Linked DNA regions of Danio rerio. The protein of the gene in region 5 purifies or fractionates together with the protein of the main gene of each other region. This does not show direct contact. Links are inferred from orthologs where the notes say so. Each region holds a gene or a part of one and is shown on either strand. Other genes may lie near its edges.

What was found. The genes of interacting proteins can lie anywhere in the genome.
Region 1: the proteins of erlin2 (region 5) and si:dkey-183n20.15 purify together in Homo sapiens (affinity purification with mass spectrometry; 4 studies listed by BioGRID and IntAct, counting the BioPlex papers as one, with this or other methods). This does not show direct contact. The link is inferred for Danio rerio from reciprocal best matches to the Homo sapiens genes ERLIN2 and RNF170.
Region 2: the proteins of erlin2 (region 5) and amfrb purify together in Homo sapiens (affinity purification with western blotting; 4 studies listed by BioGRID and IntAct, with this or other methods). This does not show direct contact. The link is inferred for Danio rerio from reciprocal best matches to the Homo sapiens genes ERLIN2 and AMFR.
Region 3: the proteins of erlin2 (region 5) and tmem259 purify together in Homo sapiens (affinity purification with mass spectrometry; 3 studies listed by BioGRID and IntAct, with this or other methods). This does not show direct contact. The link is inferred for Danio rerio from reciprocal best matches to the Homo sapiens genes ERLIN2 and TMEM259.
Region 4: the proteins of erlin2 (region 5) and insig1 purify together in Homo sapiens (affinity purification with western blotting; 4 studies listed by BioGRID and IntAct, with this or other methods). This does not show direct contact. The link is inferred for Danio rerio from reciprocal best matches to the Homo sapiens genes ERLIN2 and INSIG1.

What each region holds. Positions count from the first base shown.
Region 1 is NC_133195.1:28,154,386-28,158,389, reverse strand, and holds the start of si:dkey-183n20.15 (RING-HC_RNF170 domain-containing protein), read left to right. Parts: upstream 1-1,204; 5' UTR 1,205-1,220; coding exon 1,221-1,249; intron 1,250-3,820; coding exon 3,821-3,887; intron 3,888-4,004. UniProt on the Homo sapiens protein: E3 ubiquitin-protein ligase that plays an essential role in stimulus-induced inositol 1,4,5-trisphosphate receptor type 1 (ITPR1) ubiquitination and degradation via the endoplasmic reticulum-associated degradation (ERAD) pathway.
Region 2 is NC_133182.1:35,353,821-35,357,987, forward strand, and holds the start of amfrb (E3 ubiquitin-protein ligase AMFR-like), read left to right. Parts: upstream 1-1,367; 5' UTR 1,368-2,293; coding exon 2,294-2,521; intron 2,522-3,079; coding exon 3,080-3,172; intron 3,173-4,167. UniProt on the Homo sapiens protein: E3 ubiquitin-protein ligase that mediates the polyubiquitination of lysine and cysteine residues on target proteins, such as CD3D, CYP3A4, CFTR, INSIG1, SOAT2/ACAT2 and APOB for proteasomal degradation.
Region 3 is NC_133186.1:14,596,432-14,600,672, reverse strand, and holds the start of tmem259 (membralin), read left to right. Parts: upstream 1-1,441; 5' UTR 1,442-2,052; exon of another isoform or gene 2,053-2,157; 5' UTR 2,158-2,197; coding exon 2,198-2,419; intron 2,420-4,241. UniProt on the Homo sapiens protein: May have a role in the ERAD pathway required for clearance of misfolded proteins in the endoplasmic reticulum (ER). Promotes survival of motor neurons, probably by protecting against ER stress.
Region 4 is NC_133182.1:41,359,972-41,363,921, reverse strand, and holds the start of insig1 (insulin-induced gene 1 protein), read left to right. Parts: upstream 1-1,150; 5' UTR 1,151-1,309; intron 1,310-1,474; 5' UTR 1,475-1,480; coding exon 1,481-1,814; intron 1,815-2,427; coding exon 2,428-2,552; intron 2,553-3,167; exon of another isoform or gene 3,168-3,351; coding exon 3,352-3,518; exon of another isoform or gene 3,519-3,735; coding exon 3,736-3,835; intron 3,836-3,950. UniProt on the Homo sapiens protein: Oxysterol-binding protein that mediates feedback control of cholesterol synthesis by controlling both endoplasmic reticulum to Golgi transport of SCAP and degradation of HMGCR.
Region 5 is NC_133180.1:36,109,605-36,113,104, reverse strand, and holds part of erlin2 (erlin-2), read right to left. Parts: intron 2,965-3,500; coding exon 2,885-2,964; intron 2,780-2,884; coding exon 2,600-2,779; 3' UTR 1-2,599. UniProt on the Homo sapiens protein: Component of the ERLIN1/ERLIN2 complex which mediates the endoplasmic reticulum-associated degradation (ERAD) of inositol 1,4,5-trisphosphate receptors (IP3Rs) such as ITPR1.

The sequences.
Region 1 (4,004 bases), on a different chromosome or scaffold from region 5:
ACCTCAGATTTAATTATTAATCGTCAAAAGTGTTCTCAACTTGAGATTCAAGAACACATTAAGCCTTGATAAAGCCATAAAATGATTACCACGGCAAAACTCGACACCCAGAGAAGCTGAGGCAAGCCTCCAAAACAGGTGGCACAACTTCTTTCAATCAAGACCTTATGGATGCTAAAACAGCCTTAAATGCCCCAGTTAATCAAAAATTCGATGCTTTTACACAAACTAAAAAATGCTTAGTTACAATTTTTTTAACATTTTGAAAAAGATATCATTAGTAGTATGCAGATCAAAACAACAATTAAGTTTTAGTTGCATATATTTAACTCATAAATCCAGAAATACTAAGAACAATGTAAAAAATGCAAGGTTTCGCACAATTCCTTCATGTTGTCTCAACACAAATGGCCTAGGTTAACTGCTTTTTACAAATTTAAGTGGATTGAACATAAAACAATTACGCTGTCAAACAATACTCAATTGTTATTGATTTAGCTTGTTTTAAATAAGTAGAACACTTTTATTTTATTTTATTAAATGACCCAAGTGGTTACTTAATTTGTTTTCTATGCCTACATGTAACAGATGTACTCAATAATGATAAACAAAAACCTTCCTAATAAACTTAAACTTGCTGCTCTCTGATTATTTAATCTTCTTTTATGCTCATTTGTAATTCACAAGTGTCTGCTAAATTATTAAATGTATGTAAGAAGGTGTATAGTATTAAAGCAGCTTTAGCTTTATTTTAACTTAATGATCATCTCAGTGAAATGCATTTCTTTGGTAATCCATATGGGACAGCATCTTAGATTGTGTAAACTTAGGGTAAACCATTGACAGGTCAACCAGACACCTAACCTACTTAAAGTAGGTGGAGACTCTCAATCTGTGTCTATAGTGGTCACATGACAAAAATACAACATTGAGGACGAACCCTAGCTTTATTACGCACATATGATCTAAATCAATACATATTTACATGCACGGCTAAATTATAGAGGGCAGTAAGATTGCAAGTATCTTTCCTAAATTACGAAAATATACAGGAAATCGGTGTAGTTACCTAATCTCTGAAAAAAGGGGCTGATTTGGGACCGAATCCCTGGTTAATGATTAACCGTCTGTCAAATTTACTGTGTACAGGGAAGCAGTGAGAAAGTATTCCAGTCAGTGCCGTCCACCAGAGAAAAGCAACTGAATTACGAACAGAAAACATGCACACTAATCATAGCTACAGCAACAGGTGAGTCTTTATTTTATTTAACGCACATACAGTGCTCAGCATATATAAGTACACCTCTCACAAATCTGTCTTTTAAGTTCATATTTTTAATAGGAAGCTATACAATATTATATTTGTGCATATACATTAGATTAGTCAGTACTGAAGCCAAATCTGGAGCTTATCTAACAAAATAACTTATGATAGTAGTTAACTAGCACACCCAAATATATATGTTCTAGAAAAATATTAAATACAAATTTAAAAAAAGAGGAAAAACCAAGAGAAGCAAAAATATAGAAAATTTCAGTTAAATTTTTTGTAGGTTGTTATATTTTTTGTGCAATATTTTTGAATTTAATTAAATTAACTTTTAATTTCTAAATATGTTTGGTGACTACAATATTATTTTAATAAATATAAGACCTGTTTAATAAATTAGTTTTGTTTAAATGCAACAAAATACATTGACTATATTCACTTAGAATTGGAGAAAAATATTTATTTTCGAAACAGGGTGTACTCAATTATGCTGAGCACTGTATCTGTGCCCATTCATCTTTTCAGAAACCTTTTTTTACAGTGTAATTGAAGTGTTAGAATGTCCCTTTTTACATTTTTATCATGATTTATTTAAATCTGTCATGGAATGTAATCCAGTGTAACTACAGTTTAGATTAAATAAAAGCATGTCAGACATATATAGAGCAAGAATCTTTAGAAAATATATTAAAAAGCTATTTAGAGTTGTTCTGTCATCTTTACTCATCCTCAATCAAGTGGTTCCACATGTTTGACTTTTTCCACAAATGTAGGTATTTTGAAAAACGTTGAAAACCAGTAACCATTGATTATAACATACATAGATTATTCTTTATCTATAGATTTTTTCTAAATATTATACTTGTGGTAAACAGAAGAATACAAAAATGTTTGGAACCGCTTACAGAGATCAAATTTTCAATTTTGGTTGAACTATCCCTCTAAGCCAGTGTTTCTCAACCATGTTCCACCAGCACTGCACATTTTCCAAGTCTCCTTAATCAAACACAGCAGATTTAAATCATCAGCTCATTAGCAGAGACTGTAAGACCTGTAATAAAGGTGTGAAAAACAAAGGAGACATCCAAAACATGCAGTGTTGGTGGTCCTCCAGGAACGTGGTTGAGAAATACTGTTTTAAGCCATTAGATACTAATTGTTATTTTAAATCGTTATTCTTTGCCACTATGCCACATTTTAAAATGTATTTAGCTTTTTATTTGATCTAAACCTTAAACCGTTTGTCCATATTTGACCCAAATATTATTTGAAACAATCCAACACTGTGTTATAATGCATTTGTCAGCAAGACATTCAATTTAAATGTAATCAAATGTAGTACGACTGTTTATTTTGTTATATAATTGAGCAAGTACTGGCCAGAAATTAGTAAGTTGCACTTTATGTGTTATACTTAGGGAACATCATTTTCTACATTTCTACTTATTTCTTTCTACATGTACACATGTGTTATGATGAAGTGTTGTGTCCTGAGACTGCAGGTCATTTGTGTTATGGTATGTTGAAGCAATAAAATACACCGCACAGACAAACTGCCACATGACATCACAGAGTTCAACACGCTCTTCAGAACCATAATGTTACTTTATTTTAAACTCTAACACCTCTCAAATTCCCAGACAGTTATATCAGGATATCTTGAATGCAGGATTTCTAGATTTAATTGTTGCTACTTTATTACATTTATTTCTAAATACTGATAAGGTTCCGTGTGGTGTTGTGTTATCTTGGTAGACGTGCACCTAGTCATACTATCCTGACTAATCACTGAATACAAGTTGAGCAAATAATCATTCATTCATTTTCTTTTCGGCTTAGTCCCTTTATTAATCAGGCGTCGTCACAGTGGAATGAACTGCCAACTTATCCAGTATATGTTTTACACAGCAGATGCCCTTTCAGCTGCAACCCAATACTGGGAAACATCCATACACTCTTGCATTGACACACAACACTATGGAGAAAACCCACACCAACATGTTGAGAACATGCAAACTTCACACAGAAAAAAATAAGTAGATTTTTTTAAATACGTAGAACATTTTCTTATTTTATTAAGTGACCCAAGTGGTTACTTCATTTGTTTTCTATGCCTTCATGTAACATATGTACTCAATAATAATAAAAAGCTTCCTAATAAACTTAAACTTGCGGCTCTGTGATGATTTGATCTTCTCTTATCCTCATTTGTAATTCACAAGTGTCTGCTAAATTATTAAATCTATGTAATAAGGTGTTTAGTATTAAATGCCAGAAATCCCAACTGAACCAGCCGGGGCTAGAACCAGCGAACTTCTTGCTGTGAGGCGATTGTGCTACCCACTGCACCACCATGACACCAGTGAAGCAAATATTATAGGATAAATTCGGTTTTAGTTTATTGATGATTGCCTAGATTTTCACTCTAATTCAGGGATGCACCTTTAATTACTATGAGCTCAGTCCTTCATTCTTATATGAGGTTTCTTAGTTTGGTACAGTAGGCGAACATAAGCTGTATATTAATGTCATCATCTCTCTCTGTTGAAGGTCCTCGCTATTACCAAAGATAAGGAGTCAAGGTTGTCCACACAATGCTCACGTGAACAACAGAGAGGTAAAAATGCGCACACACATACTCATACACACACTTTTCTTTTTGTGTATTGTGAGGACGTACCATAGGTTTCTATTGATTTAATACTATATAAACTATATTTTCTATGGGGAAACC
Region 2 (4,167 bases), on a different chromosome or scaffold from region 5:
ATAACTTCAAGTGTTTATGCGAGACACTACACACAAAAAAGAAAAAAAAGAAAAAAACTTTTTGATAAAGAATTTATATTCATTTTTTTTCAAGTCTGACAAAGGTCCAATATTTGTCCCCTCATTTGTCCTGTTTTGACTGTTATGCCATTACAAGTTATCAAAATAACCCATTGAAAATACAGAGACCCAGAGAAAACATTTTTAATGTAACTTTTATTCTAATTCTTGGACCTAATTCCTGAAAGAAAAAATGACTAATAAAAAGTTGTGAAGCACCAAAATGGCCCATATTAATACATATTTGGCTATTGTTGTTATCCATGAATTTTCAAATGTACTTTTTTTTTTTTTTTTTACAAGAGAAGCTAGAAAAATGGTGAAGCTTTACATTATCATTATGTTTATTTATTTATTTATTTTGTAATTCGAATGGTCAAATTCTGAGACTGAGAAAAGTTGAATGTGCTGGTCAGTTTGTCGTTTGACTAAAATGAAAATAGGCCACAGTTTTAAATGTAAAATTTAAACAGACTGCTATTTCCCCCCTAGTGCTGTATTATAAAGTAGCTTAAAAATAATAGCCTCGACATAATTCTTTATTACAAATCTTTAGAAAACCTTTTTAGTGTACATGAAAAAGTGTGACCATCCGACAAGCTAATCCAAAAAAAAAATGTATTTAAAATGTCACTAAAATGCAGTATTTAAATCTCCTAATTAAATAGAATATTAGTCGAACAACTGCAAAAAGGTCCACTATATGAGAAAAAAGAACGACCCCTTTCACTAGGCTGACTATAAGCCTGATAATGTAAAGAAAACACCAAAAACATACTTTTAAGTGCTGCTCTTTTCAAGTGTTGCAGTTTGATCAATTTAGGCCTGTAGATTCCCATTACAGTGTTTAAAAAAAAAGGTTTTGCAGTTGTGTAGCCAATTAAAGTTACATTGTGGCTATAGACATTTACAGCCCATTTTATATTCTATTGCATTGAGAATTTGTGATCATTATTTGATTGCATCATGTTCAGCTCTCTTAGACACTGTAAAGTGTTAATATAAAATTGATATAATAAGCTACAATTATATATAAAAAATAAGAAATAGAATAAAATATAGAATATAGTCTATAAATAAATTAATCAAAAATAAAATAATAAATCGCTACTGTGTAATTTACAACCAGACATTTTAAAATATTTTAGATACATGTTATTTGGAATTGTAATACAATTTTAATACATCTCTGAGAATAGTCATCCACTTAACCCATGCCCAAATTAGAGCCTATGGGCAAGGTTTATTGCTGAGCTACAAAAAAAAGAAAAAAAAAGAAACTGAATTAAATGCTTTAATTAAATGTTGTAAATAAATCTGATTTTCAAACTGTGAATACTGTTTGTTTTTGTTTTTATTCTAAGTTTATTGTAGAATGTAATATATATGTATACTCTCTCTCTCTCTCTCTCTCTCTCTCTCTCTCTCTTTATATATATATATATATATATATATATATATATATATATATATATAAAGCAATGTTTTCTCATTATTTTTAAATATTATCAATTATCAAATAAATTAGGAAATTACCCATTGGCTACTATATTTACCGTCGGCCGGTAGCCTCAATCAAGTTTGGTTTTTGGCCTTTCATAAGAAAAGGTATGGGCATCTCTGCTCTAGAAACACGGGACTAGATCCCCTCTTAGCTTTTGTGTCTTGCACATGTAAATGCTGAACATGCTATGAACGATTTATAGCACTTAACAAATATGGCAATGTTGAGACATTCTCATAACAAGTCAGACAACTTTCAACGAGTCTCATTGTTGACTCAATTGCACCACCTTGTGGCGTTTTGTAGAACAGATCTCTAAATTATACAAATTCAGTAAATGTTAACGTACTTCTCAATTTTTAAGAGAATACCCAGAAGTTGATTTACTGTTTGCATTTAATATAAATAACGCTGATTTAAAAAAAAGAAACCAGAGTTGAAAGAAATCTGAAATTTTAATTTTTTTTCAAGTTCAATATAAAAATACATTCCCATGTATCCTTAATTTTCATAAAATAACGCCATTTCAGTTGATTTTAATGAGTATGTTCGACATCTGTTTTGGAGGTAAATCAGTCTTGTTTACGCCCTCTTCAGTGACACCGCTAAGGCTCGCCTTGAAGTAAAAGATTAGTTTCTGCAGTGCTAAAACGATTGAAATTAAATATTAACGTCTTCAAGTATCTGATAGATTTGATAAGTTATATAGACAGAAAAAAAAACACAGTTATGGATGTGTTGTCCTGGCCTTGCACTCAGGCGTACACAGCGTTCAGTGCATGTTTACTGACAGGATGCATCTACTCGTTGTACGATGACGAGGACAAAGATTTGCTTATTGAGAAAAATCTCTCTCAGGACTCACCCTCCGGCAGGACAGACGATGACAATGTCAACAACGAAGAATTATATTCAACTGGTTTGTGGTGTCACACTACAGGGAGCTTATGCATGTGGGTAAGTGGTCCAATTCTTACATGAGCCAGGAGTAGCATAAGTTATATGGGTCAGTGAGTCAACACGTGGACCTACAGTATATTATGCCTAAAATATACTGGTAAAATGACTAAAACTCGGTTTTAATTCAGTTTTAATTCTGTTTGTTCTTGCAATAATTACATTCATTAATTTCTTTATTTATTTGCATAAATGAAGTCTTAATAGCAATGTTAAAAATCAATGTTTGCTATTTCTTTTAAATAAAATTAATGTTTGTTGCCTCTAAATTTTAATTAACAAGTCTTTTTTCTATGACAATTTGTAATATTTTAGAGTATATCAATTGAGATAATTCAACTTTTCAATTTGCAAGGGAAATTTCTGAAGGGAACATCGATTTACATTTTAAGCATGACTTTTTTCACATTTTTTCTTTATAAATGGAATAAATGGTGAGATTAAATGTCCAAGAATGTGGCACCTGTACTGAAATCTAGATTTGATACAGTATATTCCTCTTATATGAAATAAGTGCCGCTACTGTAGTAATAGCCAATATTGCTTTATTCTCTTCAGGTCCTTGTGAATACACTGTGCTGTTTTCTCCTGCTTATGGGAAAATGTATCCAACTTGTTGTGTTTGGTGATCTCAGAATCAATGAAAAGCAGGTAAAATCCATGCAACGAACATCAACGACATAAACAGGTCCGTAGCCATCCTGGTGAAAGGGGTATTTCTTTTTTCTCAAAAAGTATATCTTTTTGCAATTATTTATGATTAAATACTGCATTATAGTGAAATTTTAAGCACTATTTTTATCTGGATTACCCTGTCGTCAAAACCACACTTTTTGATGTACCAAAAATATTTCCTAAATATTTGGAATAAAGATTTTTTTTATTAAATACAAATTTATCACTTATACATCGTTAGAAAAACAGGCAATGCAGTGGTGCTTTGGGAAGCACGTTTGCCTCATAGCAAGAAGGTCACTGGTTCGAGCCTCGGCTGGGTCAGTTGGCGTTTCTGTGTGGTGTCCTCCCCGTGTTCGTGTGGGATTCCTCCGGGTGCTCTGATTTCCCTCACAAGTCCAGGGACATGTGGTATAGGGGAATTGGTTAGGCTAAATTGTCAGTAGTGTATGTGTGTGAATGAGTGTGTATGGATGTTTCCTAGCTGGAAGGGCATCCGCTGCTTAAACCATGTGCTGGATAAGTTGGTGGTTCATTCCACTGTGGTGACCCTGGATTAATAAAGGGACTAAGCTGAAAAGAAAATTAATAAGTATATCAATAGAAAAATAATAAGCATCTGTTAAAGTTTAAAATTAAAAACTGTTGTCTGTTGTCATTTGTTCGCCAAATAACAAGCTGGCATGCACATTCAACTTTTCTCAGTCAAAATTAGGCCCTTTGAATAATAAAAAAGTTCAAACATTTTAATAATGTAGAGCATTACAATAATAGCCAAGATTAGATCAGATTAGATGTTTTCTTGCACAGATGAATGTTGGACTCAGCATGAAAAATAATTATTTACATTGGCCAGACGATTCTGCTTGGTCTTAAAGCCTTTTTCAATGTGTTTCTTTTTTTTTTTTTGCAAAATTGATGAAGGCATAGCAATCAATATACTACAAATGAGCTCATGTATGACACAAATT
Region 3 (4,241 bases), on a different chromosome or scaffold from region 5:
ATGTGAATGAACAATTCAGTGACAAAGAGAGATTTAGCGCCACCCATTGGACATTTTGATTTCAATGCATTTCAGTCAAAAAATAGCCTACTGTAATATTTTAACACAAAAAATCAAACGTTTGAGAATATGTCTATAAAAAATTCCGCCTTGAAAAATTCAGTTGTCTTACATTTCAATATTCAAGTTAGAAAATTCAAACTAAGAAATTCAAAACAATTTTTAACGGCATATAAAAATTCAGATTTATTAAATTACAATTGTCTAATTCAAATTAACACAATTCAAATTTAGATTGTTTTGCTTATTATTATTTCCATAATACGCACATCAAATGAAAACATGGCAATATTTACAGCTAACAGCTTATCATTTTTCAGTAAAGCAACTCATTCATTCATTTTCTTTTCAGCTTAGTCCCTTTATTAATATGGTGTTTGCCACAGCGGAATGAACCGCCAACTCATTCAGCATATGTTTTACGCAGCGGATGCCCTTCCAGCCGCAACCCATCCCTGGGAAAGTAAAGCTTAAATTCTGATTCAAAATCACAAATAATGACTTGAGGCGACATGGTGGCTCAGTGGTTAGCAGCACTGAGATCTCACAGCAAGAAGTTCACTGGTTCGAGTCCCTGTTGGTTCAGTTGGCATTTGTGTGTGGAGTTTGCATGTTATCCCCGGGTTTCCTTCAGGTGCTCCGGTTTCCGGTTTCAAAGAAGTGGTAGGTATAGGTGAATTGAATGTATGTGTGAATGAGACTGTATGGATGTTCCCCAGTACTGGATGGGTTGGTTGCAGCTGGAAAGATATTCTCTGTGTAGAACATATGCTGGATAAGTTGGCGGTTCATTCCGCTGTGGTGACCGCAGAGAAAATGAATAAAATAATGGCTTGTATTTGAAATTATTTGTACTAAACTTTCCAAACAGAATGAATACATTGAGCAAATATATTTGTAAATTATGTATAGTAAAAATTCAATTAAAACATTTGCAAACAAAGTTGAACTACAAATAATATTGTCTCTAATAAAATAGCAGAAATCTAAACAATCCTCATGAAAAATATGCTTATTTCGTATTTTGAGGTCATCCCCACCGCAATCAAGCGCTATGCATGTTTATCTTTACTTACTTCTACTGCGTGACTTGTACCATAGATGCTGTACTAAATAGCCTTTCCACTCTATTATGACGTGACGCAATAATAAATTAATACGATTTGGAGAAACCAGAAACAACAATAAACGCATGATATTTATGTTATATGTTTATATATTTATTTATTCGTTCATTCATTAATTTTGTTGTTGTGGAATCCTTTAGACTTTTGAGTAAAAAAAACAGATCCCTTGGCCAAATCACGTGACTTACCACGGAAGCAAAACCAGAGTGGAACTGCTTCCCTCATTAAAAGCTTCCTGACTGCTGCTCCCAAGTCCGCTCCGCTTCAGAAAATGGTTGTGTAAACAGATGATTCGTAAAACAGCTTACAGTTGCTGCCATCGGGTGGTTCTGGTGGGACATCATCAAGTATCTGATGTCTTGTTTTATTGAAGAGTGTCAGCGTTATGTGAGAAGGCGTTTGTCAAAAAGTAAACCGAACATACGGGTTCTTCACTGGAAGCTCGGCTAACTTGTTAGCTTGTGACTATTAGCAGACTACGCTATATGTGCTGTTTGAATTTTCATTCATTTTTAAAGTTCAGCTAGACTGTCTAGGTAAGATTTAACTTCCATACAAAATATTGTTATTTAGTCTAGTGTCTGAGGCATTAAATGAACGTGTTTGGTTGGGGTGACAGTGAATGCTGGAGGCCTGAGTCACAATTGCAAGACAAATTGGGTTTAAAACTAAATTTAACAGACTGACATGCACCTCTGGTCTGACAATATTTAAGCTGCATGTGCAGCAAATTTGTAAAAGCTCCAAAACTAGAGTAGTCTGTTAGCTCGCGAGAATATGACATGGTAGGAGTGGAAGGAGCCTTGCCCACCAACATCCCTACAACATTCAGCGTCTCCCGGGCTTTTGGTGCCGATACCTGAAGGTCAGTTCACCTTTTGAGAACCAGACCCATCATTAGTGTGAGCTGATGTTGTGTGCTCGGCCTGTTCATCTGGATCTTATCACATAGCTTTCTCCCTGACCTTAGTTGGTCCTTCTCCTTATCAAGTTACTGAACAATCATCACCATGTCTGACAACCAAGGCAATGTGAACAACAACAACGTTCCACTGAACAACAATAATAATGGTGGGCCAAACCGGATTCGTAACCCCCCAATGAACCAGAACCCCTTGATTAACGTGAGAGACAGACTCTTCCACGCATTATTCTTTAAGATGGCAGTCACATACGCCAGACTATTCCCACCATCTTTCAGACGAATATTTGAGTTCCTGGTCTTGTTAAAGGTGAGATTTTACATTTTCACTGAGTGTGTTGATCCTTCTTGAAATTTCTTTATTTTTTTAACCCTTCTTGTGTGCTGTTGGGCTGTTTTATCCTCTCTGGGGTGATTGTGAATGTTAATTAGACCACAACGTTCTCTTTGTTTCAGCAAATGGAATGATTTTTTGAGAAAATGCTTTTTAAACATTCTTTTTTAAACAAAAAAGAAGAGTTTGTTTTTTAAACAAACTCTTCTTAACAGATAAAACCATCAACAACCAAGAATGCATGATTATATGGTGTCATGGCTTTGTAATCAAAATGTCATTATAATGCAAGTCAATAGGGCAAAAGTAGCCTTGAATATAATGAAAGGGTTGGTAAATTTAAACTGTACACAAGGGTTGTATGCGTAGTTGTTTTCAACTGATGAGATGCAGTGACATGCTAAATAAACATCAGGATGGATATTACTAACCCATGGACTGACCTCTACATATATTGTACTATATTATTTCTCCTATAATTTTATATGCGAACAAAATTAACCAAATTAGCTCTCTTAAGCTCTGCGTACCTGGTACCGTGTCCGTGACATCATTTATTTCCGCATTCTTTATTTTTTAAAGGGCCGTACTGGCCCAATACCCCCAGAAGTGGTTCCGTTCTCCCATCAGTTGGAATAGAATAACTTTTACATAGATTATGATAGAGACATTTTTTCTGATTACTGACATGTGCAGGAACCACCAAAATTAATTACAGCAACCTAGACCACACAGAACCTAAGACTAAGTGGTACGGTTCAGTTCAGTACGCTTTTATGGCCGTTTCCACTGAATAGGTACCTAAAAGCAAACAATACCTTACCACTTTTTGGGGACTCTTTGCAAAGGGTACCTAGCATGGCAAAAAAAAGTACCAAAAGGTGAAGCAAGACATGCAGCTGAACGCTACTGATTTACAGAAAAGCGTCACTCGATCATAAGCAGAAGAATGAAAACAAAGACATTTTTAAATACACAGCCGAGACATTACATTGTAATACTATAATATATGCATATAATAATGTGCCATGGTTGACCCGAGCTCAGACAAACCTTGTTGTTGACTTGATGTACAGCCACAAAGCCAAGAAGGACAAAATCTGCCGTATCCTGTTTTTGTTTAATGCGAGAGTGAAGTGCGAAAAAACAAAGGATAAGGCCAAAAAACGAAAGAGCGAATCATTCTTTCACCAATTTAAAACATGAACAAACTGGCAGGTATAACCATTACCAGGTATAACTAAAACTTGCCTTGCCTATTATCATCACCTTTAGGACTATTATGAACTTCGAATGACGAAATTATTTTCTAACAGGAGGTCACATGTGCTGGTGAAGATTAAAGTTACAGATGGGAAATTTGCTCTGACTGTGGGCTACATGCTGCGTTTTTTAATTATTTTCAATAATTAAAAACTGACAACCGCAGTAATCAAACTCTTGGGAAAAACTGTGGACGGAACCAAAGTTCACTGGTCTGTGTTTTCTGAACTCCTCTTAAGCGGTGGACTACTTCATTCTGATTGCTTGCCGCCGAACCGCGTCATAGCTCATATCATATCGTTGACTTGATCTCAACTCTCCTCTATGCCCACACAGGAGAAGACACGCCGCGCTGTTCCTCGCCGCCGGTCCTCATTATAAATGAATTACTTCTGGCTACTTTGACGCACTCGCTGCTTTCGGTTAGCGATCGCTCCTCAGTTTGTGAAGGTTTCCCCGCGTTGTCGCTCCACCTCGCCCCCTTTCCCGCTCCTCAGCTTGTGATCGCTCCTCAGTTTATGAAGGCTTCCCCGCG
Region 4 (3,950 bases), on a different chromosome or scaffold from region 5:
AAATATTGCAAAACCCACCAATTTTCACTTTTTTGTGAAATATATGTGTCCTAATAGTGTTTTAGCAACGTGAGTCATATTTATGATTGTCAACATCTCAAAAAAATGTGTTTTGGTGTTTCGTGACTCGTTAACATCCACAGCACGTTTCCATTGCACATAAGTTTCTCTGTTGAAAAAAGGTTCATTAATGTGTTTAGGATGTCTTTCACACCAATAAAATAATGCTTCTTTTCTGAACTTTCATCAACACAAAAGCTTTTTAGATATCAAAAATGGTTATTTTCTAGCACTGCAACGAAAAGCCCATTTTGGAACCTTTATTGTAAAAACAGCAGCTAAAGAGTTGTTGACAGTCATTCTTGACAAGGGGCAAACATCAGACTCATTTATCTGGTGAGGAGTGGTTCCACTGAGGTAAGAGACTGAACTCTGTTCTGCTCTGAATCAATAAACTATAAGTACACAAGTTTATTTACAGTGGGGGAACAGCCCACTGAGCATCATGACCTGATTTCTTGTTTTCAGTCTCACGGACACGTACTGCACGCTGTCACGTATAGCCAACAAATCCGCATTATCTCATACACTTTCAGGGCCTGTTCACTCATAGTGAACTAAAAAAAAGTTCATATCAGCAAAAAGCTTTCTTGTCTGTACCCTGAAAAGATTACAAATACATTTACCCAACAAGTAGTTTGTTTTGTGCAAACAGGAGAACAGCAATATTGAACACTGAGAAAATCTCGAATCAGTGCTGTATTGCTTAGTTACTGAAAAGGATTTAGCAAAGCAAGGTCATTAAACTTAACCAATCTAGAAGTTTAAGACTTTTCTGCATGACTCTGGCATAGCGTCAACACACACACACACACACACACACACACACACACACACACACACACACACACACACACACACACACACACGCACACGCACACACGCACACGCACACACGCACACGCACACACACACACACACACACACACACAAGGCGAACAGCTGATGGCGAACATCAACAGCGCGTGTCTGTCAGAGAGGGGTGGCGCGCGTTCGCGTCATATGGCCCGCCGCACTCTGATTGGCTAGAGAGACTCACCAGACATGACCGCGCTTGTTTTCTGCAGAGGAAGCGCGCGTGTGGCAGTGTTCAACTGAGGGATGAAAAGAGGCAGCAGTATTTCTCTTACAGATGATGTGATCAAACAACACATCTAAACTATTTGTAGGTAGCCTTTCGTTTTTGTAAAAGAGTTTTGAAAGCACAGACGTGTTCTGCTTTAGACGAAGACATCGCTAAAAGATCAAGGTGGGTAGCCTATTCATTCCCTTTACTTCCACTTCATACTCATTGGGAACAGATTGTTTTTTGGGCTACAGCACTGCTTTTTGTAGCGTAATACTTGACTTTCAACATTATTTTATTTGATCAAGTTAGTGATAATTATTAATGAGTATTACTGTTTTCCAACAGTGCCAAATGCCAAGACTAGAGGAACATTGTTGGAGCTGCTCCTGTTCGACCAGTGTGAAGACGAAGGACCTGTCAAGCGCCGGCTGGATTGTCTGTAAAACGGGTGAAATGATGTCCATCATAACCTCAGTGCTGAGCCACGCGTACGGCTCTCTGCACAGCCTCCAGTCCGCCAATTTAATTCGACGGGGGCTTGTGTTGTTTATCGTGGGAGTTGTGCTCGCTTTGGTGTTAAACTTGCTACAGATCCAGAGAAACGTTACATTGTTTCCAGAGGAAGTGCTGGACACGCTATTTTCGTCCGCCTGGTGGATTCCCCTCTGCTGTGGCACCGCTGCTGGTGAGTCTGTCTGAAACACTTGGGCTCGAATGCTTTGTTCGTGACGATAACAAACAAAGACGGTGTGCTTGCTGAGGGCTTTTTGTTATCGTGTCTTTTATGTAAGATGAGTGATTCGGGGACAGTTTTGTTGACATTGGGCTTTGTAGCTATCAGTAAGCGCTGCCCTGGTAACAGCCGGGCATTTGGGGTCATTCTTGGGGTGCTGCATTCTCATTGGCTGCGCTCAGAACGGGTGAGCTGCGAGAGAGGCACGCCATTGGCTGGTACGCCGAACATGCCACTTACCCGAAAAGAGAAACACGGAAGTCGTGTGCAGCAGAAATTAATAAATAATTCGGTCACGCTCGACTCCTCCCCCTGCATTCCTCATAGTGGTGATGTGGACGCGTATCAGTTTACATCCTTTTCAGTAGAAAATGCCTTTTAAAGAGTTTTGTTGTACTTGAACTCTTCTTATGAGATTTATTTAAACACAAAAGTCATCACCCATTATTTATATACTAAAAGGCGTCAAACAATACCAAGCAGATGTAAAAAATGTTTTTTTCTTCTTCTTTTTTCCCCCTTTCAATGAATGTTGTTTAAAGTACTTTCTGTTTTCTCTTCTCAGCTGTGGTTGGTCTGTTGTACCCCTGCTTGGACCACCATCTTGGAGAACCACACAAGTTCAAGCGGGAGTGGGCAAGCGTGATGCGCTGCATTGCTGTCTTTGTGGGCATCAATCACGCCAGTGCTGTATCCTTAACAGTGACACTTTTACAGTTGCAACCATTGTGGACAATGAAAACTTCCAAACCTTTTTGAGATTTTTGTTTTAAGTCTGTAATAAGCCATGTTACTATTCAATAGCATTAGACAAATCCTTTTTTTTCTTAATCTCTTAACTGTCACATATTTATTTGTTTTTGTCTGAACCTGAATTTATCTTGACAAATTATACATCAAAGGCTAAACTAAAAAAGTGGGGTGACCCGTTAAAGTACTAAACATATTTACACAGCAATAATCTATGCAACGAGAATTATGCTTATCTAATATTTTTAAAAAGTCTTATGTATTGAGGATAGTTGTAATAACGCTGAAAAATGACTAGAAATGCTCAGTACTCTGACCCGGCCAGAAGTTGAAAACTCTGCACACGATATCATTTAACCTTTTTTAAGTTTTGTTTTGACGACTCTGAGTCTGTGTTTTTGGGTAAATGAACAGCAAAAATGCATAAAAGTTTTTATTTTTTGTTGTCATGTAAATATACCTTAAAACTTTACATTAACTCTGAACTCAAACAGTAACATGCACTTCATTGCCAAGAAACCCCATGTAAATGAGAACTGGGTTTTTTAAGAACTAAAAAAAAAAGTTTTTAATAAATTTGACTACAAAGTTTTTGTGGAACCTGTTTACTGCTCTCCAAATGTGTGGACCAGCAAAAACTTGGGAACCTGCACAAACTCAATTCTTGAGTTAACATCACAATGTTTTCAAAATGTATGTTAACATAAGAATATTTTGCTTAACTCAAAGTACCTTACAGAAACTGGACTTTGCTAACAATGTGCAGCTATCGCTAACTCTGGCTGCCCTGTCTCTGGGTCTGTGGTGGACATTTGACCGCTCCAGGAGTGGCTTTGGTTTAGGGCTGACCACTGCCCTGCTGGCCACTCTCATTGCTCAGCTGCTGGTCTACAACGGCATCTACCAGTAAGTTATGACTCAAACATGTTGACAAACAGCAACAGAAAACTGTTTTCATATCAACTAGCAAGTAACTAACACTCTCACATATTCATAATTTTAGTCGTAGAACATGTTTTTTTTGTAAGAAACATTAGCAAATATTATATCAAGTGCAAACACTCAGTTTTGTTTTTCCTTTAAGCAGCTCGTCATTTCAGTCCTTTTCTTCATTTGTTACCAGGTATACTTCTCCAGACTTCTTGTATGTCCGTTCATGGCTGCCTTGTATATTCTTCTCTGGCGGAGTGACTGTTGGAAATATTGGCAGACAACTAGCTATGGTAAGAAACTGCCCCTCATACCAGCCCCCTTTTCCAGTCTTTCATATTCCACAGAATAACTGATGTACTTGATTACTCATGTATTGTGGTTAGTTTCCTCTTGTGTTATGCACAA
Region 5 (3,500 bases):
AGATACAAAGACTTAAGAAAAACATCTTTACTGTATAAACAAGTCACCAACCCTATACACAGTCAATTTAAAGTACAGTTATGCACATCAAATAAAGACTCTTGTGATTGTGAACGTGACAACACTCTGAAAGTGAAACCCAGGCATGAACAGTAAAGGTCTTTGGGAAGTTTTGTTGAGTCTTGAAGTATTAAGCAATCTGCTACAATGTTTAAAACAAATCAGTTCTTTGTCTGCACACCAGTGCGTTCAAATAAACAGAAAAAGCCTTATTAAATTAAATCCTGTGCAACTTTCAAAGACAGTAACATAAGAGACATCAATATATGCATTTAGACATGAGGTATGCTGCTCAATTTTTGGATTCTATATACATATAACGATGAAAACCTTTTTTCATCCTTCAAGTTGCAGTCTTGCTCACATATAAATGTAAACTAACACAACTAAATTCTGATTACAAATGGAGGCAAGCTATTGATCCAGATGGTTTACTAGTAAAAGATACTGTACAAGATCTTAACACATAACAATTTGAAACACTGGGAGAGGGGATATTGGTGGAAATGGAACATTTCTCGGAACAAATTCCAAACATGACTTACTAGATAAAAAAAAAAAAAACTAAAATGCAGAATCATCTTCCCATGGGTGAGAAGCAGCCCACAGACTGCTGATTTTTAATGGTCAAATGACTCATTTCTGATGCAGTCCACACTCAAGTCCTCTGAAATATGAAAGTGACTGAAGAGTTGGAAAGGATACGAGCTCACAGCCCTGCTCTATCAGTGCTAAAATAAGGCACAAAATGCCTGCCAATTAAAGAGAATCTCATTATATAGTGCACTGTGCATTGCTATAAGATGGAGAAGTTCAAAATACTAAAACTGCACCAAAGTTCTTAATTATAATAATATGTTTTATATTTAATAAAAACTACTTGCTAATCTGTTTTCATGCGAGATTTTTGCTGGAGGTTTATACAACCATCTTCTCACTTTTACCTCTTGGAAGATCTTTAGTTGCTCTGTGTAGTAATTTTTTTAATTACCTAAGCTCCAACAATGGAGAAAAAAACAAGTACAGTCTGTGAAAATGCAAAACAAATGACAACTAAATTAAAAAATAAATTGGGATTGGGTCTTTTATGAGAAAACAAAAATCATTTCAACATAACAAAAGAATCCCTGAGGAGTAAGAGCCTTTAAGATGCTTTTTAGTTGGTTTATTAAATACTTACTTCAAACAAAAAATGGAAATTTAATCACCATTTACTCACCCTTAAGTGGTTCCAAACTTTAGTTAATTTTTTTTTTTTTTTTTGCTGAACACAAAGGAAAATATTTTGAATTCTGAATACTTGTTCCCAACAGGTTGATGGTCCCCAGTACTAGAGAAAAAGTATTATGAAAGTCGATGGTGACCAGCAATGGTTTGGTTACAGATCCTCAAAATAAATGTTATGTTCATCAGAAGAAAACAAAGGTGAGTAAACAACGACATGCTTTTTTGTTTTGGTGAACTATTCCTTTAAGTACATAAATCAATCCTTCAATGTTAAAAAAAGAGATATTTTTAGGAAGCTGATTTATGGTAATACATGCACAAATCTTGTGCATACATGCCACTAGTTTCTAAGGTATAGTTAATCCAAAAAATAAAAATGTACTTAGCATTTACTAACCCTCAAGTGGTTCGAAACCTTTATGAGATTCTTTTTTCCACTGAACAAAGGACAATTGTTGGCAACCAATAGTTATTGACTTCAATAGTAAGAAATGTAATACTACTGAAACCAATGACTTCAGGATGTTAAAAATCTTCTAAATATACTTATACAAGGTTTCTGCAGGTTTCTTTGAGTCAAATTTAAGACCCTTTTAAAAACATTATGAATGACATTTTAGACTTTCACAGGGCTAAACACTAAGAAGTTTTTCGAATAGTTCTTGTATTAATGGAAGATCATGTAAACGGATGTGTTGCTTTAGTTTTCTTTCTCTGCTTAGGGAATTTAATTAGGAAAAGTTGCTGTAAACAGTTGCTGTTTAACAGTTGTTGTGACTCATTTTGCAGTAAAAACCTATATACATATAAGTTTCGAGAAGAATTATTGGTGATTGGGCAGCTTTATTTGGACATAGGAAAATTAAAATTATGATTTAAGACCTACAACAAAATATTTAACTGAATTTAAGACTTTTTAAGACCTAAAATTTAGTTTTTGAAATTTAAGACATTTTTAAACCTTGCGGACACCCTGTCATAAAAGGTTTGGAACAAGTTGAGGCTGAGTAAATGACAGAATTTTAATTTTTGGACAAAATATCCATTTATTTCACATTCAAATGTCCACATATGTTCTATTCAAAAGAAAGAAAAACCGTCTGTTCAACCAAAAGAACCAGCTTTGTGATCAAGTCACTGGGGTGCAGATGCACATGTAGTGTTTCTGTCCCGCTAATACAGCATCATAATTCTTTACGAAAGTGGTTTCAGCTGCACCGACTGGCACAATGTAGTCTAATGACTGGCCATTAGTCTCTTTCATTACCTGTTAATTTATTCTCAGTGCTACAACTTTCTGCTCTGTCTGTTGTCATTCCAAGTCCAGCATCCCCTCTGAGAGCACGTCGATGGCTTTGGAAGCAGCTGAGGAGGAGCTTCCTGGCCCAGAGTCCATAAACATGTGAGGGATCTCACTTCCAAAGTAAATCTTGCTGTTAGCCGCTATTGCCTTAAATTTCATCAGCTGGAGATATTCAGGAGTCAGCTTGAGCTAAGAGAAGAGAAAGAAAAAAAAAGAAAGAGAAATAGAGAAGATTGAAAACATGTTCACTAAACACTGAGCACAACAATGATGGGTTCAAGTTCAGCAGTTTACCTTATTGGCCTCCGCTGCTCTCTGCGCTGAGTAGAATTCTGCATCTGCTTTTGCTTTCTGCCTAGCGAGGTACGCACTGTCTATAAAACAGGAATCAAACAAAATCAGCAAATCAAAGCAAAATCAACACAACAGTAACCACAGCAGCATTTGGATTTGTATGTTGAAAGATTGTCAGTGCCATTTATGTATATAAACCAATCCATCAATTTAAAAATAAAACAAAGAACTTTATTTTATTTATTTTTCATAAATCATGCACAAATCTTGTGCATCCAATTCCTCTAGCTTCTAAAGGTATAGTCTATTCAAAAGTGAAAATTTACTTAGCATCAGCAAGCAATGCACTGTCTATAAATCCAGCAAGACAAATGAAAGAACAAAATCAACACAACAGATACCACAGTAACATTTAGATTTGTATGTTGAAAGTCATCATCTGTCATTCTAATGATCATTTAATTTGGCTAATTTTCTACATTTTGATGTGAAGGTATAGTTCATCCAAAACTGTACTATTATTTACTTGCCCTCGAGTGTTTTTTTTCCTTCTCTTAGGCCCTGTTTACACTAGTGCGTTTTAGTTTTAAAACGGCATTTTAGAATGAAAACGATC